2 linked regions of the Lepisosteus oculatus genome follow. The protein of the gene in region 1 purifies or fractionates together with the protein of each later gene. This does not show direct contact. Links are inferred from orthologs where the notes say so. Each region holds a gene or a part of one and is shown on either strand. Other genes may lie near its edges.

Evidence for each region.
Region 2: the proteins of transcriptional-regulating factor 1 (region 1) and deoxynucleotidyltransferase terminal-interacting protein 1 purify together in Homo sapiens (affinity purification with mass spectrometry; 3 studies listed by BioGRID and IntAct, with this or other methods). This does not show direct contact. The link is inferred for Lepisosteus oculatus from reciprocal best matches to the Homo sapiens genes TRERF1 and DNTTIP1.

Annotation. Positions count from the first base shown.
Region 1 is NC_090697.1:16,546,771-16,556,706, reverse strand, and holds the start of transcriptional-regulating factor 1, read left to right. Parts: upstream 1-5,096; 5' UTR 5,097-5,292; intron 5,293-9,936.
Region 2 is NC_090711.1:2,321,383-2,331,460, forward strand, and holds the start of deoxynucleotidyltransferase terminal-interacting protein 1, read left to right. Parts: upstream 1-5,899; 5' UTR 5,900-6,053; exon of another isoform or gene 6,054-6,225; 5' UTR 6,226-6,290; coding exon 6,291-6,362; intron 6,363-6,760; coding exon 6,761-6,831; intron 6,832-7,206; coding exon 7,207-7,303; intron 7,304-7,762; coding exon 7,763-7,861; intron 7,862-9,050; coding exon 9,051-9,119; intron 9,120-9,763; coding exon 9,764-9,820; intron 9,821-9,935; coding exon 9,936-9,997; intron 9,998-10,078. UniProt on the Homo sapiens protein: Increases DNTT terminal deoxynucleotidyltransferase activity (in vitro). Also acts as a transcriptional regulator, binding to the consensus sequence 5'-GNTGCATG-3' following an AT-tract.

The sequences.
Region 1 (9,936 bases):
CAAGGTTACCCAGTCCTTGATCCAGGTAATTGACACCTGTCGTGTCTGACTAGAGTCAGTCCCTGACATAGTGATAGAGGGATGCAGTGGGTGTTACTCCCCCTTCTCAGGCAGCCAAGAAAGCAGGTGGAGGCTGGGGAGGAGGATGGGGAGATTTCAAACCCCAATAGTTTTTCTAGATGCATCTTTAAAAATCACTTCCATTCATTAATCAGAAAGTAAGTGGTAGTTACACAAGAAGTGATTTAAAGACATACTGTAGGTAGTAAGGCAGACTTGCTTTTGTTTTCTGTGTCACAGTTTTTCTTGACAGGACTAGGTTTATACACGTTTTCTTCAATATCGGACATAGAAGATATATTAAAAACACCGCAAATATTATTGTGTTCACCACTCATTTGTTGCATTTTTAAAGCCTTTTAGTCTATATTTCAAGTTGCAAACAATTTGACTCCGTCTAATTCCTTTTCACCTCAACCTCTCTTGTCAGTTGCCCTAACTGGGTCTCACATGCTGCCAAGGCTGAACCTGAACTGAACACAGTATCTTGCAGTGAACACCTTGTGGTTCTTGCATTACATAAAGTATCGTATGGGTCCTTCACTCATTATTTGTAGCTCATTGTTACTGTATTTTCATTCCTGGATTCTGATAAATCCTTAAGCTTTCAGTGTCCATTTGAGTATTGCGAGTCCATTGTGTTCTGTCTTATTTTTAAGAAACTGTATTTTTAAATATTTTATTGTATCTTTAAATTACTTCTGCACATATTCCATGCCTTCTAACACTGTGTATTCAAAGACATAGAAATTGTATTTAAATGAGCATTTTATGGAACATCCTTCATACTCATACAGGCAAACTGCAGGGGTCTCTAACCTCGTTGCTGGACAGCCCCAGTCCAGTTAGTCTTATAGGTTGTCCTATGTCTAATATTTAAAGATCAGGAACAATTGTTTAAGTCATTGATATTTTAAGCAAGTAATGTTTCAGTGAAGGAAACACTGCCCCTTGAGGGCAGAAGAATATTCTCGTGTTTCTTTCAAATCCATCCATCCATTTTCTAACCACTCTATCCATTTCAGGGTTGTGGTGGAGCTGGAGAAATACGGGTTTTTATTTTCATTGTTTTGTATTGGTAATTGATTGGATTGTTGATTGATTGATGTAATTAATGCCACACAGTAGGTGTAGAAAACGGGGGTTTTCAGGATGACTGTGCTGTATGTAGTTAGGTGTCACTATTACCATTATTAATAATGGAGGCTTCTTTTAGAGTCTTGTAGATCCTGCTAAATAATGTTTCCTGGACCTTAGGACAACGGTTCTTGAGTTTGTAAGAGCTCAACTCTATGAAGCCACTTTATCATAAGATCTGTGTCTGTCACAGTCATACATTTTAAATATGATAAATATTAATAATAGGATAAAAATGATAAATATGAGCATCAAACATCAATTTTGGGATGAACTCAGACTCATTGTGTTATTAACCATTTATAATTAACTTAATTGTTATGAATTCTATTATTAACCATGACTAAACCAAGCTTCAATCTTGATTATGATTTCATCATAATATATACAGAGCTTATCTACAGTATGTATAAATGATAAGATAAACCTCAAATGAGCTGTTTTTTTGCTGCTGCTGTTTTAAAACAGAGAGTTTGCAATAAGGCAAATTTTACATTTAAAAAAGGAAAGGAAGAAAAAAACCTTTTATCCAAATATCAACTGTTTGAAGTAGTTGCATGACACTAAAACATAAAATATTTGTTCCTTTTACAACTGTGCTTTGTGTTTTCATTGTAGTTTTCCTATTCTGCCCTGTGAAAACAGAAAGTAAACAGTATTATTCTTCTATATTACTCTACCTGCTAATATTTTCTAAACTGATACCCAATAAGGGTGTTTGTGTTAGTTTCTTCATCTTGTCTTGACTTTTCCTTTGGTATGGTAAGATGTGATATAGACTTGACATTGGCATCAAAACAAGTCTACCTGTATCTCTTTTTGCTGTTCCTCTCTTGGTTTTGACATACTTACAGTTTTTCTATCCACAATTCAAGAAAGACATTTCTTGTAATTCCATAAAACCTTTCTTGCAAAGCATAATTATTTAAATCTTATGTTTCCTCAGAGTCATTGATAAAGTCAGTTTGGTGGACATCTTCAGAATGAACAGTGAAACATGAAACAGAGGACACAAGTGAAAACTACATGGAAGTACATTTAAAACTGAGAACACAAGGCATTTTTTTGTATAAAGGATTGTGTAAGTCTGGACCAAGTTACCCAACCATGTTGTTGAAGCTGATACCCATCTGGATACGATCCTTAGATCAATTAGCTATTAAGTATGAAATTGTATATGGTAGTCCTTTCATTCATAACCTTTCTTAAATTTTATTTTATTGCTTTGACCCACATATACACATTCTTTGGTTCTCCATTTAAAATACACAGGTTGACAACTGTTCGTTTTATTCTTTTAGTTCAGGTTCTGAGAGCTGTCTGCAGTCCTCAGACAGGAAGTGTAGCAAAACATTCTCATTTCATTGAGGTAACAGGAGTAAAATGTATATCCAGTAAAACATAAATATAACATTTCTGCATTTTGTATGTAATATTATATAGTACATATATTATCGTTTTGTAGTATTTGCCAAGAAAGACCTAAAAAAAATTAAACACTAAGATTTAATTTCGGGAAGTGCCTTGCATGAACAGCTTTTTTCAGGACATTTTGATGGGGTTTAGTTCTGAGCTTTGACAAGGTCATTGTAAAATGTGGAATTTCTTCTCCTGCAGCCATTCTTTTGTATATCTGCTTGTATGTTTATGATTGTTGTCTTGCTGCAAGATCCACTTTAGGTTCTGCTGCATGGCCTGACATTCACCTCCAGAGTCTTCGATGATGGCAGGACTTTCAGGTTCTGGGGCAGCAACGCTGTTCTAAACCATCACACTTCCAGCACCATAATTGACCACTGGAGTGAAGTTCTTCTGTTCAAAAGCCGGGTTTGGTTTTTGACAGCTAAGGTTTCTCAGAGGCCCCAGAGTTCTACCTTTGACTCATTGGGAGAATATTGTTCCAGAAAACTTGTGGATTATCTATGTGCTCTTTGGCCTAACAAGAGCACCATTGTTGTTCAGTTGTTTTTTGAACAATGACTCACAGTAGCCAAGGTGAGAGCGGCCTGCAGTTCCTTGGACTTACTCTGGGGTTCTTTATCACTTCCGTGAAGTTTTGTGTGGTTTGTTCTCTTGAGTTATTTTGGGAGGATGGCTGTTCCTGGATGGAGTGATTGTAGTCTTGAAATTTCTACATTTGTAGACGATCCATCTGACAGTGGATGGACAGAACCCCATATAATTAGAAATGGTATTTTAACCCTTTCAGGACTAATGGGGATTACTACTATTTTTTTATCTTTATATACAGTAGGGTGGGGACTTCCAAACTCAGCCACCAAGATCTACCCAATTATTTAAACACCTGATTCAAATTATTCTCTAGGGTTTGGCTTACTTTTCCATGTCCCCTGTACCTTAATTAATCATTTTTTAACTCATACATCATTTTGTTTGGGTGTTTATTGGGAGTTGGGTGGGGGGAGTCGGTGTTTGTGTCTACTATGTCCTGTCCAGGGTGTACCCTGCCTTACCTCTATTGTTTGCGAGGCTAGGCTCCGGCTCCCCACGACCGTGAATTGGAAGAAGCAGTTAGAAAACTGATGGATGGGTGGTTGGATTAAAACTGGTTTTGATTCAAGCAGCTGTCTTGGTAAAAATATTAAATTTGTGATTCAAACTTTTTCTCGGCACTGTAGGTGTTCTGCTGCGGAAGATATTCTGCTACGTATTCATGGAAAACAGTGATATTTAAATTCCAGTGGATTTTTCTGCCTCTGCACATATTAACTGGACAGATAGAACAACCACTGAACATTACTCTCATGTAGACATGGTGTTAGGCATTGCCAAATGCATGGGGCTGAGTTTTCCCAAGTTACCCGGTCCTTGATCCCAGCCCTGAGCTTTTTGAAAAGACCTTTCTACAATAAAATGGTGTTAAAATGCCAACAATGAATCTCATTATTTTATGAGACGTCCTTGAAAAAAAATCATTTAAGTCAATGTTTTAAACTGCTTGTTTCTTTTTTCTAACAATGTTTTATTATATTACAGACTACAGTAAAACCACAATGAGGGGTTCAGCGATTTTAGAGGGAATCAGGGTGGAGTGTCTCCAGTGGTAATAAATACTGGACACGCTGCAGTAAAACCCTCCCAGGTTTGCCTTTCTAAACTAGCACTACGGACAGTTCAGGGTATGCAAAAATCTAAAGAACGATATCTTGCATTTTAACAGAAGCATGCAAATGAAGCTGGATCAATGCAGTATTAAAAATGCGGGGTGTAATTTGCATAATTATATTAGGAAAGGTTCCTTACTTTACACTGCGCGCCACCATATTAACTGCATGTTCACATTATATTTCAACTTAAAAGACAAGCATTTGAAATCAGATTGTTGTGACTTCTTTAAAGTTTCCCAAGATTCCCATTGGGCACAGTTATTTTTTAAAATAGAGCGCACTGAATACTTAATTGTAAAGAAAACGAAGACTTAATTTGCAAGGCAGAAGCATCAAACTGTCCACACACCTGCGTGCATTGTAAAATATTAACTCTTTTGTTTTAATTCATATAAATACAACGTTAAAGCCGGTTGCACATTCAATAGATATTTTCATATATCAAATTAATAACAAAAATTATAAAAGTAAAAAAAAATACGCATTTCTTCTAACGTTTTTACTTCCTGCTTTAAAAACTGCAGTCTTGACCAGAATCTCTCCGCGGAAGAATTTTACCATGCAGATTACAGTACGAGTTCAAAAAATGAATTGTGGTTCGTGTTCAGATTAAATATCTATGTATAAAGTAGTTAAACGTATTGTTATGCGTGTGTATATAATGTATGGAATATACTTTCTAAAAAAACGAACCGAGAGGCTATAACCTGTTTGGAAACTGTCTAATTTGCAGGCGCTATGTTTTACGGCGGACCGATACTTGTTTACAGGATTGTAGCTGTACGGCATAACTCAAACTATCCTGTAGAGGGGAGGTAAGGGAACAAGTTGATTGTAAATTGCATGTAAAATTAAATTGAAACAACTGTTCAAGCGGACTGATTTCTTCAGCAATCCTGAGGCGACCTCACAGCCTTTGCTCGTTGTTTTCTACATGACAAAGGTTCTGCACGCGTGCCTTCTAAAGGTAGGTGTAAAAATAGATGCGCCTGGGAAGTAACGATTAATCAAAAAAAAGTTTTATTTTGCAAGAGTTTCGGTATGTACAGCAGGCAGGGCCTTCTCAGAAGGGAACTCCTGACATGCATTTGAAAGGGAGCCCTTTTTTAATTTGAATGCGGCGAAGTGTCATTTTCCGAACAGGACAAGAATCACCATTTGTTGCACTGCTAAGTTTGAATAAATGCGGCTAGGTGTTGGACTCGAGTTATTGGTGACGCGGTGCTTCAAGAAAAGCCATTTGATTGAAACCGTAAATTAAAAAAAAAATCGTGGTCTGAAAAATTAAATCACAAAAGGTGGTTAATTTCACGGACGTGCAAGTTTCATGTCGGGTGTCAAACAGTACCGTGCACTTCAAGCTATATATATATACTTGCAGTATAGTAGTACAGTAGTTGTTGTATGGAGCTGACATCGAAATTGACAGACATGTCGTGCTTGTGACACTGGGGTGCCGAGTGTTGCAGCGCACAGTCGCATGACAGTGGAAAAGTCTGGGTCAGTTTAACGCTTTTTATCTTTATTTCGGCCCACCCGCTACCCAGTTAGTTAGTTTGGGGGCATGGCATGATTTGCAATACTTTGGATGAGCAGGATTATAACTAAGATTATCGTTCGCTGAAACGCATTTGGAAACCTGGCCGTGAAGTGTCTCCGGGAGCTGTCTTTTTTTTTTTTCTCCCTCCCGTCCCCAGCCCCACTCCCGTGTGAGAAAATTACACATCCGATGTGTGCGCATACACACCTGACGGGTTAGTCTACTGTCCGTGTTTGCTGTAGCCAGTGGAGAACATCTCGACTTATTTCCTTTTTTTTCGGTATGTGTTGGTTTTAAAGGGATAGCATCCAATTTCTCAAACCAGGAAATCCGCCTTTAGCGATGCGCTGCTTGAGTAGGCTGGAGGATATATATATATATGTATGTATTTTGTCGTGCTCTTTCTGCGATGTACAGTCTTTAACCCGTCGTGTGCACTGCCACTGTCTGCCGGGGCCGTAAGATGCTCCGTGCGGCTGTGAGACAGACTCGCCAGGCAGCCCCCCCCGCCGTGCCGGCGGTGCGAAACGGGACCCTGTACTTCGCAGGAGCTGTTTGAATTTTCTTTTTTTCGCAAGTCTGAAGATATTTTTGGGAGGTTTTAAAAAATATTGAACAGATACACCTCGCGCAAGTGTGTTGTAGTTCTGACTTGTCACCGTTTGAGGAGCATTACGTTTCTTTTAAGCACCGGTCGTATTTTTTTTATCCAGTGCCAACAGCTAAGGCGGTAGCAAATGATGAGACCTTATCGACTCTCCATCAAGGTGATCTGTAATATTCTTTTGGGCGTGCGGACTAACGTTTTGTTGGATTTCTAAACTGGATTTAAGGCGGACGACTAAAATCTCTCATTTTAAGAACCAGTTAAAACCACTCGAAAGTATAGTCTTTTGAACTGTTCTGTAGTAACATTAAAACGTTAGCCGGACACTGGGCAATCTTAAAAAAAAACGCCTTAAACGTGTTACTGTACAGTGACGGTTACAGAACACTAGCGAAACAAAAAATACATTTGACTGTATAAAAATATTGATGCGTGTACTGTGTATTTTCGTCTGATCTGCACTATAAGGCATATTAAGTACATAGACTTAAATATTCAAGTTATAAATAGTGAAGTTTAACTGCTAAAACGAACGCAGTTGGCAAAGTGACGCGCTATAGACAGAGGATTATGAGAATGTTTTAAGGCCAAAAAATGTCAGCGAGGCTAAATTTCATGGAGTTTTGCACAATCGGCCCGGCTTTACATTTACGTGGCACAGCAAGGATCGCATAATCGATTCTTGCGATCTTACTCGCATTTGTAACAGAGAACAGCTCCAAAGAAGAGGCGGGCTTTCGGGACATCTAGCCCGTTTAGCAGTCATTAATGTACGATTGATCCAAGGATCAGTTAGACAGGAGACAACGAGAAGATGGAAGCGCGTCGATATGTTTATGAATTTCTGATTCTTTTTCTCTTTCAGTTTTAATATATAACAAAACATGCTAATTTGTTTATGGGACATTTGGCTATAACAAAATAAATGAAGTACTCCGTTTTGAAACATCTTTTAACTCAACCAGTTATTGCGTTAAATAGGAGAAAATTCCTTCGGTTTGTACATCGTGAAACAAGTTTTCCATTTAATAAAGATCTCAGCATGTGAGGGAAAAAAAACTCAGTAGTAGAAATAATACAGTTGTATTTACAAACGCGTCAGCTGCAACGGCAGCTTCAGATGAAGAAGGCTCCATAGTCAAAGCGTTCTGCTTGGACCCTTTACTTCTTCCTTATTTAAGAAATATGGTGCATGACCGCAGGGTTCTAGTCAACAAACAAATTAACAGTAAACTACATCATTTTACTCTTATATAAATCAGAAAATAAAGGGACTTTGGAAATTATCCACTAAGAACCCTTCACTGGGGGTGGCACAGTAGCTAGCATTACAGCCTGGCAGCCCAGCGGTCCTGGGTTCAGTTCCTGGTGTGCTGTCTGCATGTCATTTGTATGGTCTGTCTGTGTTCGTACGGGATTCTTCCTACAATCCAAAGACATAATAGTAGGTTAATTGGCTTCTGGAACAAATTGGCCCTGGTGTAATTCTGTCTGTGTGTGCTCTGAGATGGACTGGCGTCCTCTCCAGGGTGTATCCTGCCTTGCACTCATTGTTTGCCGAGATGGATTCCGGCTTCCCAGCTACCCTGGTAGATACTAGTTAACTGATCCAAAAAAAATCTCATCCAGTTGTTTCCCGATGGAGGCAAAAGTACTGGGTTCAAAAACATGACTGGGTTGCTTGTCCCACCTTCCCAGAACCCTTCAGATAAAGCTTTAATCCACGTCCACATAGGTCCCACTTGTGTCTGCTGGATCTTGATTCACTGTTCTCTATGAAGAAATCCGTTGGGTTGACATTGTCGGTGTTTTTTGGGATCTTGAATAGTTGTAACAGGTCTCCTCAGGGTCTTCTTTGTTCAGAGACAGATTCTTTCAGTGTGTCAGGGTATGACACTCCCTTGAGCCGTGGAATGCATCTGATTGCTGGTCTCTGGACTGATTCCAGAGCAGCTATATCTTTACTATAGTGTGCAGGCCAAAATTGTACACAATATTCCAAATTAAAGATGTAAATGTAACGTACTCACACATTACGCACAGTATAGTCCGTGCACATATATACATACATGAGATGCTATGGGAAGCTCCAGAGGACCCCTGTAACTGCACATGATGTAGCGATTGGAGGTGCCGTCAAGAGCAGACGATGAGGGTAAATTGTGGAATGTTGTGAAGGCTAGGAAGCTGCCATGCTGAAAATGTCTTATAAGAGTTGATATCAGTTCATATCACAAACGCCCATGTAGACGGGAAGCAGGGGTAGACCACAGGTTACATTGCACAAACGTGTCACTCACCAGCCAAACAGTAATTGACCACGTGTGCCTTGCAAGAGACAGAATTATTTGCTAAAGGATCAGCGCTGCCTCTAGAGTGAAGCCACGGTGAAGAAGAGAGAGAGACAGGTGGGAAAAGGTTGTTTTTTTTTCTCTCACACACCCTCAGTGCCCCTCACGCACCCTCATATCTCTCCCACGTCTTCACAAAGTTAGGAATGACCATGTAATAGCCCGGCGTTGGTTAGTCCCTGCTGCTTTGGCTTCCTTGTCAACACTTCCTGTGTGTTGTGACGTCGGGGAGCCTCTTCATTGGGCCAAACAGATGGAAAAGCTGAAAGTCTTCACCAGCGCCAAAGGCAGTTATAGTCCAGGTGTTAGAAAAGTGATGCCGACAGCATTTTGATCACGAGGTGGTAGTGAGAACCACTTACTCTGTACTTCTTCAACTAGAACGGTCTAGTGCTACCGTACGTTGTACTGTATCTTCGTTTTGAGCCATTACCACAGCGACCTTACAGACCATGTACTCTACACATTACCACACTTGGAATTTAATGCTGGCCTGATGACTGAAGCTCACCGATGACAGTGCAGGAATGGCTCAGGAAATAACTCACACCCATTTGTTCGGAGGGCATCCATCTCCTTGTGGTAGACGTTCGCTGAGGTGGCCAAGAACTGAATTTCCCCACCAGTGAAGAGTATTGGGTGGATTAGTCAAAATTTCACTTTACCTATTGTCTTACCCTTTTTTCATGATGCGGCAAGAAGCCTTCTGTGACATATTTGAAGACCTTGTGATAATCACAGTTATTTTTCACTGAAAAAACTGTGTTTACAGTCACGTACTATAAGTTGTTGCTTCGCTTACAGTTGCTTATACAGCATCATTTTAGTTTTCCTGCAGTTTCTTTGTTGCCGGGTTATATGAAAGTTATACCGCAACAGACAAGAGTATTGTCACTCCGTTTCTTGAATTCACTACAACGTATTTTGTGACTCATTCTTGAATGAATGAGTGTTTATGAATAAAGTCTTAAAAGGCCGAGCTGCTGAACAGGCCTATATAAAGTGTAGTATTATCATATTGCATCTTAACAAATTGCAAATTACCCTTGTTTTGGATACAAGATGCTAATATGTGAGTGCTGTAATATGTGGCCTTTTCTCTGTTGTTTCTTC
Region 2 (10,078 bases), on another chromosome or scaffold:
ATGGCCCTATGTGAAGCTCGGCGCTCTTGTTTTCCATCACCAGGCTTCTACTTCGTTTTTGTCTGAGACCCACAAAGTGGCCCCAGGGGTTAGTGGAAGGTCAGTGTCCAGGAAGATGACAGCATGATTGTGTTTTGCCTGGTGGAGGTCTTGCCAGAGGAGCTGGGGAGAGACCTCTGACCGAAGCAGAGGCTGCAGTTCGGACTCCCGAAGTGATGGCTCTCTCGGGCGGGCAGCTGTAGTGGAAGCACGGAGAGCAGTCCTGGTCATCAGCCAGCTCCTGCCTGACCTGCGATTTCATCGCTACTGCGCTCTCGTCTGCACAACTTTCAAGATGTGCCCCCATCTGATCCATGATCTTGTTCATCTGTGCAAGCCAGCAGCATGTCCTCTTCTCAGAGAGCTACAGATCCGCTGCCCGCTTCCTGTTGGCTTGCAGTTTACCCCTCATTTATTTAATCATCGTCTTCAATAATTAGAAGAGCTGTTTGTATTTATTCAGCCAAGAACTGAAAACTGAAATTGGTACGATGCGGTCTGAGATTACACGACAGAGCGCAGCATTATGAATGTAAACAAAAAAGCATTAAAAGTTCTGGTAGCCTTCAGAGACTCGATCTGTTGCACAGTCTCATGAGGCAGGAAGTGCTGGAGTGGTCTGTTGTTCGTGAACAGGTTGGCTGCCCTTGAGCTGAACTGAAATTGTCTACCTTCTCAAAAAAGACAAAAGATTTGCAACTGCTTTCCTTTCTTTCTCTGGCGCAATTTTTGTTTTCATTTTCAGAGAGCACGAGCTCTGCCTGATTGAAGTGGAAGACTTGTACTCTGGGATTTCCAGGGCTCGTGCTTCTTGCCTGTGCCTCTCTCACGCTTCTGTCCCATCCGTGTATGTATCTGTATATAAATTGGCTATTGGCGGGTTATTTTTATATTTTGCTGTTGCAAGGACTGCAAGAGAAAAAGAAAATGGGGCAGGGGGCAGGCTAGGTCTTTCAGTTGTAACGTAGTTTTATCAAAGAGGCGCCTGATAGCCCTGGAACTTGAGCGATCTGGTGGATCAGGAGAAAAGCAGCATCAAGCCGATACTCGAACCCCAGTGTGTTTCTGTCACCAGCAAAGACATGTACATAGTGTACAGAGATCCGTGTGAATAATGTGTTTTCTCTCCTCTCTTGTATTGATCTGTATTGAAGCCGTTTTAGGAAGTGAATTGAATGTCGTCTCTTCGTCTATGAAGGTTTTATGTTGATTTTTTTTTCCATAGTGGCAGTTTTTTATTTTTTTATTTTGAGATGCAAAATCTTTATACGTTTTAATTTAACACGACTAAACTTTTTAAATGTTTTTAATTTTGCTATTGTGAATTATACAATTTGAAATAGGAAATGTTTTAAACTAAACCAAAGTGTTATTAAAAAAAAAAGAATCTTTATCTTCTATGGAAAAGTAAAAACAATGAATGCTACTGCTCTAGGACACAATCAGCAGAATTTCCCTGATGTTTATTTTTATAAGCCTTTGATTCCTATGTCTTACTTTGTTTTCTGGAAATGAATGTTGTGTTTCCTGTTTGGAAATTAAATTGCATGGTCAGATATTTTTAAACTACAGAGAAACCATAAATGAATATATAGAAATTGACCTTCATAGAGATTAGTTTATAGATTATCGGTGTCTTGACTTAAACATTTTGTGTATTTGTCTTTGTTTATTTTATATATGTATACATTATATATACATACTTGGAAATTTATCCAAGTAGTAAAAAGGAAAAAAAAAAACATCTTTAAGCTCTCTGTCTGTAACCCAATAATGTTGTGTTGTAATGTATGCAGTCTGTTTTAAAAATATTTTCCTGACCTGTGTCTGATATTCCTAAATGGGGTGATGAATTAAACTAGCACTCCACCGGGAGACAGCAGGACTGTGTGTCAGACACCCCGTACTCAGTACCTGTAACAGGAGTCCCCAACTCCATCCTCTGGCAGCGGGAACCCACCAGCTTTTCCTTGTCTCCTTAAACTGGGGAAGCTGGGTGGACTGGGGCAACTGAGAAGCACCTCACTCAAGCCAGTGTCTGCACCAGGGACCTGTACATGTAACCTGTCAAAAGAGGCAAAGCCACTACCCTTCACTGTCCCCAACAAGGCCATGGCCAAGGGAGAAAATAGTCCAGTCCAATCAGATTGTCTCCCAGGTAGAGAGCTGTAACTAGGACCTGGAAAAGCTGCTGGATTCCTGGTGCTGGGAACCACTGCTGCCACCACAACATGATAGAAAGGTTCCCAATTCCCCCCAAGTTCTGAAGACCAGAGATTTCGTGAAGGCATTGTAATCAGTAGTGTCCCAGAATGATCACTGCACTCCACCTGTTGTGCACTGAACTTCGTGTGTCTTGTGGACACAACCCAGCAGCCCTGCTGTTATAATTAACATTGACACAGTAATAGCACTTATCATTTATATTTGTCTATTATCTATTACTCTGATACTGGATCTGATCCACCAATGTCTTGCAATGTACACAGCTGTTATAGTTGCCCAAACAACTTTGGACAAGACTGGAGCAAGGAATGTTGGACTTTCTTTTAAGGATTTTAGACAAGCCCATTTGTAAGGGAGTTGGGGACTAAAGTGAGAACTTGTGCAAGAACACCCGTGTTTATTTTTATGGTTCGTGTTTCCTCGATGCACTTGAACCCAAACAAGCCTGGCGAGTAGAATGACCTCCTCTTGTCTGTAAGCCTGCGTTTTAAAAATGTTGTGGCTGGAAATTCCTGGGGATTCAGCACACAGATGGAAAAACTCCTGCAGTTTCCTCCCTGCAAGTGGCGCCAGAGGATGAGACGGGATAGCGAGCGAGCGAGGGAGAGGGTGGACAGATGATGGGATGAAAGAAGCAGTGCCTCGCCCCCAAGACTAATGCGGGGACCAGCAGCATCGCTCTTGGTGCTGCTGCCCTGTTTCTCCCAGAGGGCGGCGCAGGGGGGATGGGGGGGGGGGTTTGCGCAGAGGGCTTCCACAGCCACCAGGAAGCTCACCTGCCCAGGTGTTGCTTTGCCAGCGGTGCTGGCAGGGGGGCCAAGGGGCCAGGGAACTGCAGGGAGTTTGCAATTGCACAGCTCGGAGCTCTACAGCAGTACGCACTCAGTCAGCGACAGACATGTATATATAATATATATGGAGAAATAAAAATGAGTTCTGAAAACGAGCCTCAAACCCCTACTTGAGTGCACCTTTACCCTGATCCTTTCTCGCATATGATGGCCCTTGTCCTATGTGGGTTTTTTCCCCTGCATGTGTTTCCTTCAGACTTCAGCTTCTCCGCGTCACCTGTAGGAGGTCCTGGTCACACATACGTCTAGGCCAGATGCACTAACCGGCCTGACTGCAGGCTGTGCAGAACCCTTAGAGCTGTATTGCACTCGCTTGGCGTACAGATTGATTTGTACTGATTTACAATGCAGTTAGTTCAAGACTTTCTTTGACATTTTTTGTGCACAATTTCAACAAAGTTTGTTGTCAGCTTTTGCTTTATAGTTCTATTCGATTATTTTTGTACCCTGTTGTGTTCTTTCCCCTTGTCGAGTATTAAACGTGGAGAAGGGTAAATATCCTTTTATTCAATGGATTGTTTTGGATGTTTTTTTTACAATAACAATCTGTAGAAAGCTACCGTTGTACAGATGATATAACGTGGTTTAAAGTAGTGTAAAACCTTTTATGTGCGTGCAGTTTTTTTTGTAAATTTTATTACAGTGAATTCATATTGGAAAATCCTCTGTTGCAATTCAGAAGTCACGAGTTAAAATAAATTAGATGTTGCTGTATACTATTTCGTATTTGATGTGCAATAAATTAAACTACATTTTTTTTCACCTGATTACACCTACAATGCTAACAATAATATCAATTTTAAACTATTTTATTATAGACGTGTAATAAACCTTATGTACAGTATATAAACGTATTTAAAAGGTGCAGACAACAACAAAATAAAAAAAAAACGTCTGTGGTTTAAGCCCTCTGAATGTCATTCAGGAATTACAACTATATAATGCATACATTAAACGTACATATAGTGTTTCGATTATGTCTAAGATTTTTTTTCCTGATAAAGTGAAACGATCTCGCCTGTTTCTGCAGCGCCATCACGAACTGCTGACGTCATGCTCTCTCGCTGAGAAAACGGAGACCAGAGGGTTGTGGGTTCGATTCTCGCGTCGGCTCCCTCCTGAAGCTACCCAAGGGCTGTTGCAGAAATTAAAGAAAATAAAAGTCTCGGTTAAAAAAAAACCGGAGTCATCTGATGCATATGATAAAATTGGAAAAATCAAAACCTCAGCCGGTTACATTACAAATAGAAAGTGCATTTATTCGAAGAGCAAGGGAAATGTTGAAGCAACGATGCCGGAAATTTAAAAAAAAAACAAGCTGAGAGACGGCTATTTCGCATATAATGAAGATATTAAAAAATTGTTAAATACAGGTGAGAAACGCAACACGACCAAAAACTCCAGGCAGCTCTGCGACATGTGACTGACTGACCCCCTCAGTGGCGGGCCGTGATTGGTCAGAATCTACCCACGTTGCATCGTCCCGACATTCTGATTGGCTAGCCCATGTCTGACTCTTGACAGCGCTGCGATTGGCTAACGCTGCCAAGACCAGACAGAGCTCTTTGAGCTAGGAGCTTTCGATACGGCATGGTCTAGTGTCGAAATTAAGACCATATTACAGTACAAACATAAAACTGGAAGCTCGAACTTAGTGATATAACTATCAAAGAATGATAATTAAAAAAATTTACTTTTTAATTTTAAAAAATGTTATCAATATAAAGTGATTCGAAGTCGGAAAGTCAATTCAATTCAATTCAAGGTGCTTTATTAGCATGACCGATTGGGTACAATCAGTGTTGCCAAAGCCAGAAAAAATAATCAAATTAACACGAAACAAAACAAAAATAAAAGTAAAATAAAAAGTCTATCCTAAAAGAGCTGTAGCTGGAGTTGTCCTGCTCAGAGGATTGTAAGATGCAACTAACATAGACTATCAACTGCTCTCTACAAGAACACTATGTGTGTATTTAAAATAACATTTGAAAATCAGACTATGTCTGTGATTAATTACATATGTATTCCGAACAACAGTGTTTTTTTCAGTTAAAAAAAAACAAAAGCTTGTGGCAGGCCCCAGCGAGATTTGAACTCGCGACCCCTGGTTTACAAGACCAGTGCTCTAACCCCTGAGCTATGGAGCCACCGCCGGTAAAGCGGAGGTATTGTATCCCTCAAATAGTAGTACACTCAGGTTATATTTCTGGTTATTTACATCAAACATATGAGTATTTTCTTCTTAAGTGATTTACAAACGTTAGTACGTTTTTAACATTTGAAACGCACAAAACCAACACTCTGCAACTCCTTACTATTGGCCAATAATGAAAAGGTTCTGTTTTGACACAAATCTTTCTAAAAAAAATAAGGTGATAGCTATTTTATCCCAACTAGGTTCAGCAATGATGTTTCTTCAGACCGGTCTGTTTGAAAAGAAGCACCGTACAGAAATCAATCTTTTAACATCCGAGGAAAAGATTGATCCTCGAAAAGCGCGCTGTGCCCCTCAACAACATGGCTGCCGTACGTCGAGTGCAAACAACGTCGCGGAAAGAGATTGGGTAATTAACTATAGTGAGGTCACGGCGTACTCTTAGTGTTTGGAACAGTATTTACCACGATTTTACCTATTCCGCGAGTGTGTCTGAACGACACGGTTTCTAGTCAAGCTGACGCTGTCATCAAGCGCCCCTCTCAATCATGGCCGCCCTAACGGCTCTGGGGTTGGGTTTTTTTTTTTTCACTCGCGCTCCGCGATGACGCAGCCCGTCGGCGGGCGGTGACGTCGGAGCTCGAGGAAGTAGCGATTTTGCGCGAGATGGCAGGAGCATCCTGTCTGTGTCGGTGAAGACGGGAGCAGCGCTCGATTTAACAACATAATCCGCCGACAACTCGTCTTCGGGCGTTGCACCCCCGGGGAGAGGGGGATCCTGAAAGGGCCGGCACCGCCCCTGAGCTTTTTTTTTTTGTAGCGTGGACCCGGCGCTGGCTCATCCGTTTTCACAATGAGACTCCGTCCTGCGCCGTGAAACGCCTTGTTGTCTGTGCGCAACAAGTTCGCCTGCTGATCGCGCCGCTGTTTTATTTTTTGATTTTTTTGTAACTGAAGCCAGGAGGGACATCCCACGTCCCCAGGAGCACCAGGCGTGAAAGGGTCCGACGCCGGGCAGGATGGGGGCTCACCGCAGCGAGGGGCGCAGGGACTGGCTGCCGCAGCAGGACGCCCCGGAGCAGGTCGCTGTGGTGAGAGTTTACCCCCCGGCCGCCTAGAAGCACCGCAGCCCGCAGGTCCTGTCACCTGCGTCAAGGCGAGCAGAAGTTCCCCTTCCCTGCCAGTTCTCGGGCTTGGGTGAACATCCGAACCCCTCGGCGTGAGGTTTTCATAATTTCGCTTCAGAGCAGCTTAACCCTATTTAGCCTTTTAAAACAAATAGCTTAAAAGCGCTAAAACTGAAGATACGGACTCGGGGGTGGGTAGAATTGTAATGCGTTCTTTAATTGTCGTGCGTTGAAGCCCGCGATGCCAGGTCTTGACTGTGCTGGCTGTGGGCTGGTGCAAGAGTTTGAGGGGTTCGTGACAGGGTGCCGGCCATGGAGTTTGTCCGTCCTCCGCCTGGGTGACCCTCCCTCTCGTCTTCCAGAACCCGTGGAACATCATGATAAAGCACCGCCAGGTTCACCGCAGGGGTCGGCGCTCCCAGATGACAGTCAGGTAATACGACTTTGTGTGTGTGTGTAAGAAACAGCTTGTTTAGTTGGTGCTTTGCAGCATGTCTTGTGATGATAGATTTCTGCTCTTGCTGTGAAGATTCCCTCCCACCCCCGACTGGATTCTGTAAGTGGTTAATGTTTTCTTTAAATTCAAAAATTGGTTTGTGTATCGCGGCGTTGAAGGCTGATTCTGCCTTTCGGGGAAGACGGAGCAGAAGGCGTCAAAATGCTTCATGTAAGAGCTCCAGGGTTTCCACCAGCTGGGGTGCAGGGGGTTGTCATGGTGTTTCAGGGCGCAGTCGAGGCTCGGTGTGTTGTGTGGCGGGGCGGTACTGTAAAGACAGGAGCGTGCTGACCGTGTCCCCACCCTTCCCAGCTACACGGACCCTGTGATCTCCATGGACCTGCTGCGCGCGGTGCTGCAGCCCAGCTTCAACGAGGACATCCTGGCCGTCTTCAACAAGTACATGAAGGTGAGCCCGCGGGGGGCAGGCGCGGTGTGGGGGGGCGCCCCTGCACACCCCGCCCCGCAGGAAGAGGTTTATTTCTTGACCCCCTGACACCGCCTTCACTCCCAGCGCGCTGCTGCCACGGAAAGACTGGACCCAGAGCTCCACAGCGGCGGAGAGCTAAGACCAGAGGCCCAGAGCAGGGGGCCATGGGCTGGGAGGGGTGCTTCTCACCATGAACATTTTTCTCCATCGTGGGAAAGGCTTGTTGGCATGATAAAAATACTGCAGCTTCCTATGATAGCAGACAGTGGCTGAAATGCTATGTACTGAGCTGGGAGACTGCAGGCCTCTTTGACAGCCATGTCCTGCGTAGTGTGATACTTGCAGTACAGGTGCATTGCAGTAACACAGGGCTTGGGTAGTGCAGTGAACAGGATGTGACATCACCTTGACCAGCCCCTCTGCCCCTGTGCGCTGCAGTTCTTCCAGAAGGCAGCCAGTAACGTGAAGGAGAACATGGGCGACGAGGTGCAGCCCGAGGTGCTGATCAGGGAGGCGTGCCGGAACTGCCTGGAGCAGGTGAGAGCGCCGGGCCGGGCCGTGGACCTGCACCTGCGCAGCCTGAGGGAGGGGGCTTTTCAGTCAGTCTGGGGGTGCAGCAGCAGATACAGAAGTCAAAGGCGGGTGCTGTCGTACAGGGGACACCAGGGGGTAATGTCTTCCACGTCGTCTTGAAAGACTTTAGTTAAGATTTTCAGCAGCATTATAAAAGTATGTTTTCCTGGGAGACTGGAAAACAAGCTGTTTGCACAAGTTGTGATATGGGAACATACAGTGTCGGTTCTATCAGGGAAGCTTGCACAATTAGATCCTAATTCTGGAATTATACAAAAATACGATTCACAGTGTAAAGTATCACCTTATCTCCCGTAACTCTATTGTACTGTCTGCTCCGTTGGTAATGTTTCTCTTCCTGTTTTATTGCACTGTGTCAAAAACCAGATTTCCCCCGGGGATCATAAAGTTTGGGATGAAATGAATACACACTGCACAATAATAACATCTCTTCAGATTTTCATACATCAAAAAACATTATGATGCAAATACTTTTGTTTTTGTTATGCTTACAAAACCACCTGCTGTGGTGTCTTAAAATGGTTCAGTGTAGGATTTGTAGGTTAATTAGTTTATTTCGTCAAATGAGTTTAGTTGTACAGGTCGCTGATAACGTCTTATTGTAGAGTTTTATTTTTTAAAAGACTTCTATAGAAACAGCAAACAAGCTTTATTTTTTAGTGTTTGAATATTGTAATTACTATGAAGAGTTTATTATATTATTATTCAAGAATAACAATAGAGAATCTTTCTTGCTGAGAGTGGATAAATACACCCCATAACCTCACATGATTTTTGCTCTGAAGCTGATAATACTCAGAATGTGAAGAGTATTTGGTTCTGTGGTACAGATGCATTTCATACATTTTAGAAATGGATTTCTGTGTGTTCATTTGAAATATTCTACATGATATAAAATGAGCTAATCGTGGCAACATGAACCTCCATCCCTCAGACTTATTTAGCTGCTGAGCCGTGCCTTTTGTGGTGGAGAAGTGATTGTGGATTAGTGGGGCATGGCGTAATGTTTCTAAAAAATGCAGGACTCGCTGTGACTTGTAGCTGCCAGTGATGAGGATAATGAATAAGGTGGTAATGATGAGATCTGTTCAGGACTGTTAGATCTCTTGTGTGATCCTCCCTTCCTCTGCAGGCTAAACAGCTGTTCTCTGATGGGGAGAAGCCACCCCAAAGACCAGCTGTGGACCTCCCAGCCAGCAAGGTGCGAGCTCGACCTCTGACCTCTGACCTCTGACCTCTCTCCCCTGTCCTGGCCAGCAGAGGCCTTCTATAGCCGTAGGGGTGACTTAACACTTTTAAGTGACAGATATCGCTTACAACATCTTAAATTGCATTGTAGTTTCATCTGCCTTCATTTCACAACTGTATTTTTATTTAGGTGAGAATGGGGAAGTGTCATTAGCACTCTCGATGAATCCAGTTTGTCTGGCAATCAGATTACATAGTTTATATGCAAAAGAATGTAAGCCCTTCTAGAACTAACCTGTAACTGTAATAGATTACTTAGACAAAGGAAGTTTTCCCCAGTTCTGCAGAAGTCATTCCCTGATCTCGTGCCCCTTTGGTGTAGGCTAGTGGTTTCTCTCCTGGTCCTGGTGACCCTCACACCTGCTGGATTTCATTCCAGCCAGGAACAAACAGTTCACATTAATGTTATTATATTAAGTCAATGAAGAGTTTGATTGTGTATCTGAGGACTCGGCTGGAACACAAACCAGCAGGTCTGTGGGGGTCACCAGGACCTCGATTGGGAACCACTGGCGTGGGGACGATTGGGGGCGCACGGCCCCCCCAGCACGGCCAGCGGGCTCAATAATGTCTGCTCCTCTCCTCTCTCCCCTCCAGCGAGGCAGACAGGTGGACGACGAATCCAGCCAGAGGGGCAGTCCTGTTCCCAAGAAGGTAAGGAGGCACCCGGCGATGAGCTTGTGGGAAATCCCGCGGAATGCCGCGAGAGAGCCGCAGTTTCGGATGGAACACTCTCTCCTGTTCATAGAGCTGGGCTTTGTCTTCACAGAGGAAGGGGCGTCCGCCTGGGCCCGTCATTCCTTACGACCGGCCAGTCTCCACTGGAGCCATGTGAGTACCTTCGTGCGCATGCACACCCAGGCGCAGTGCTGCACGTGGGGGACAGACGCACCCGGGTTGAACTGGCCAGCC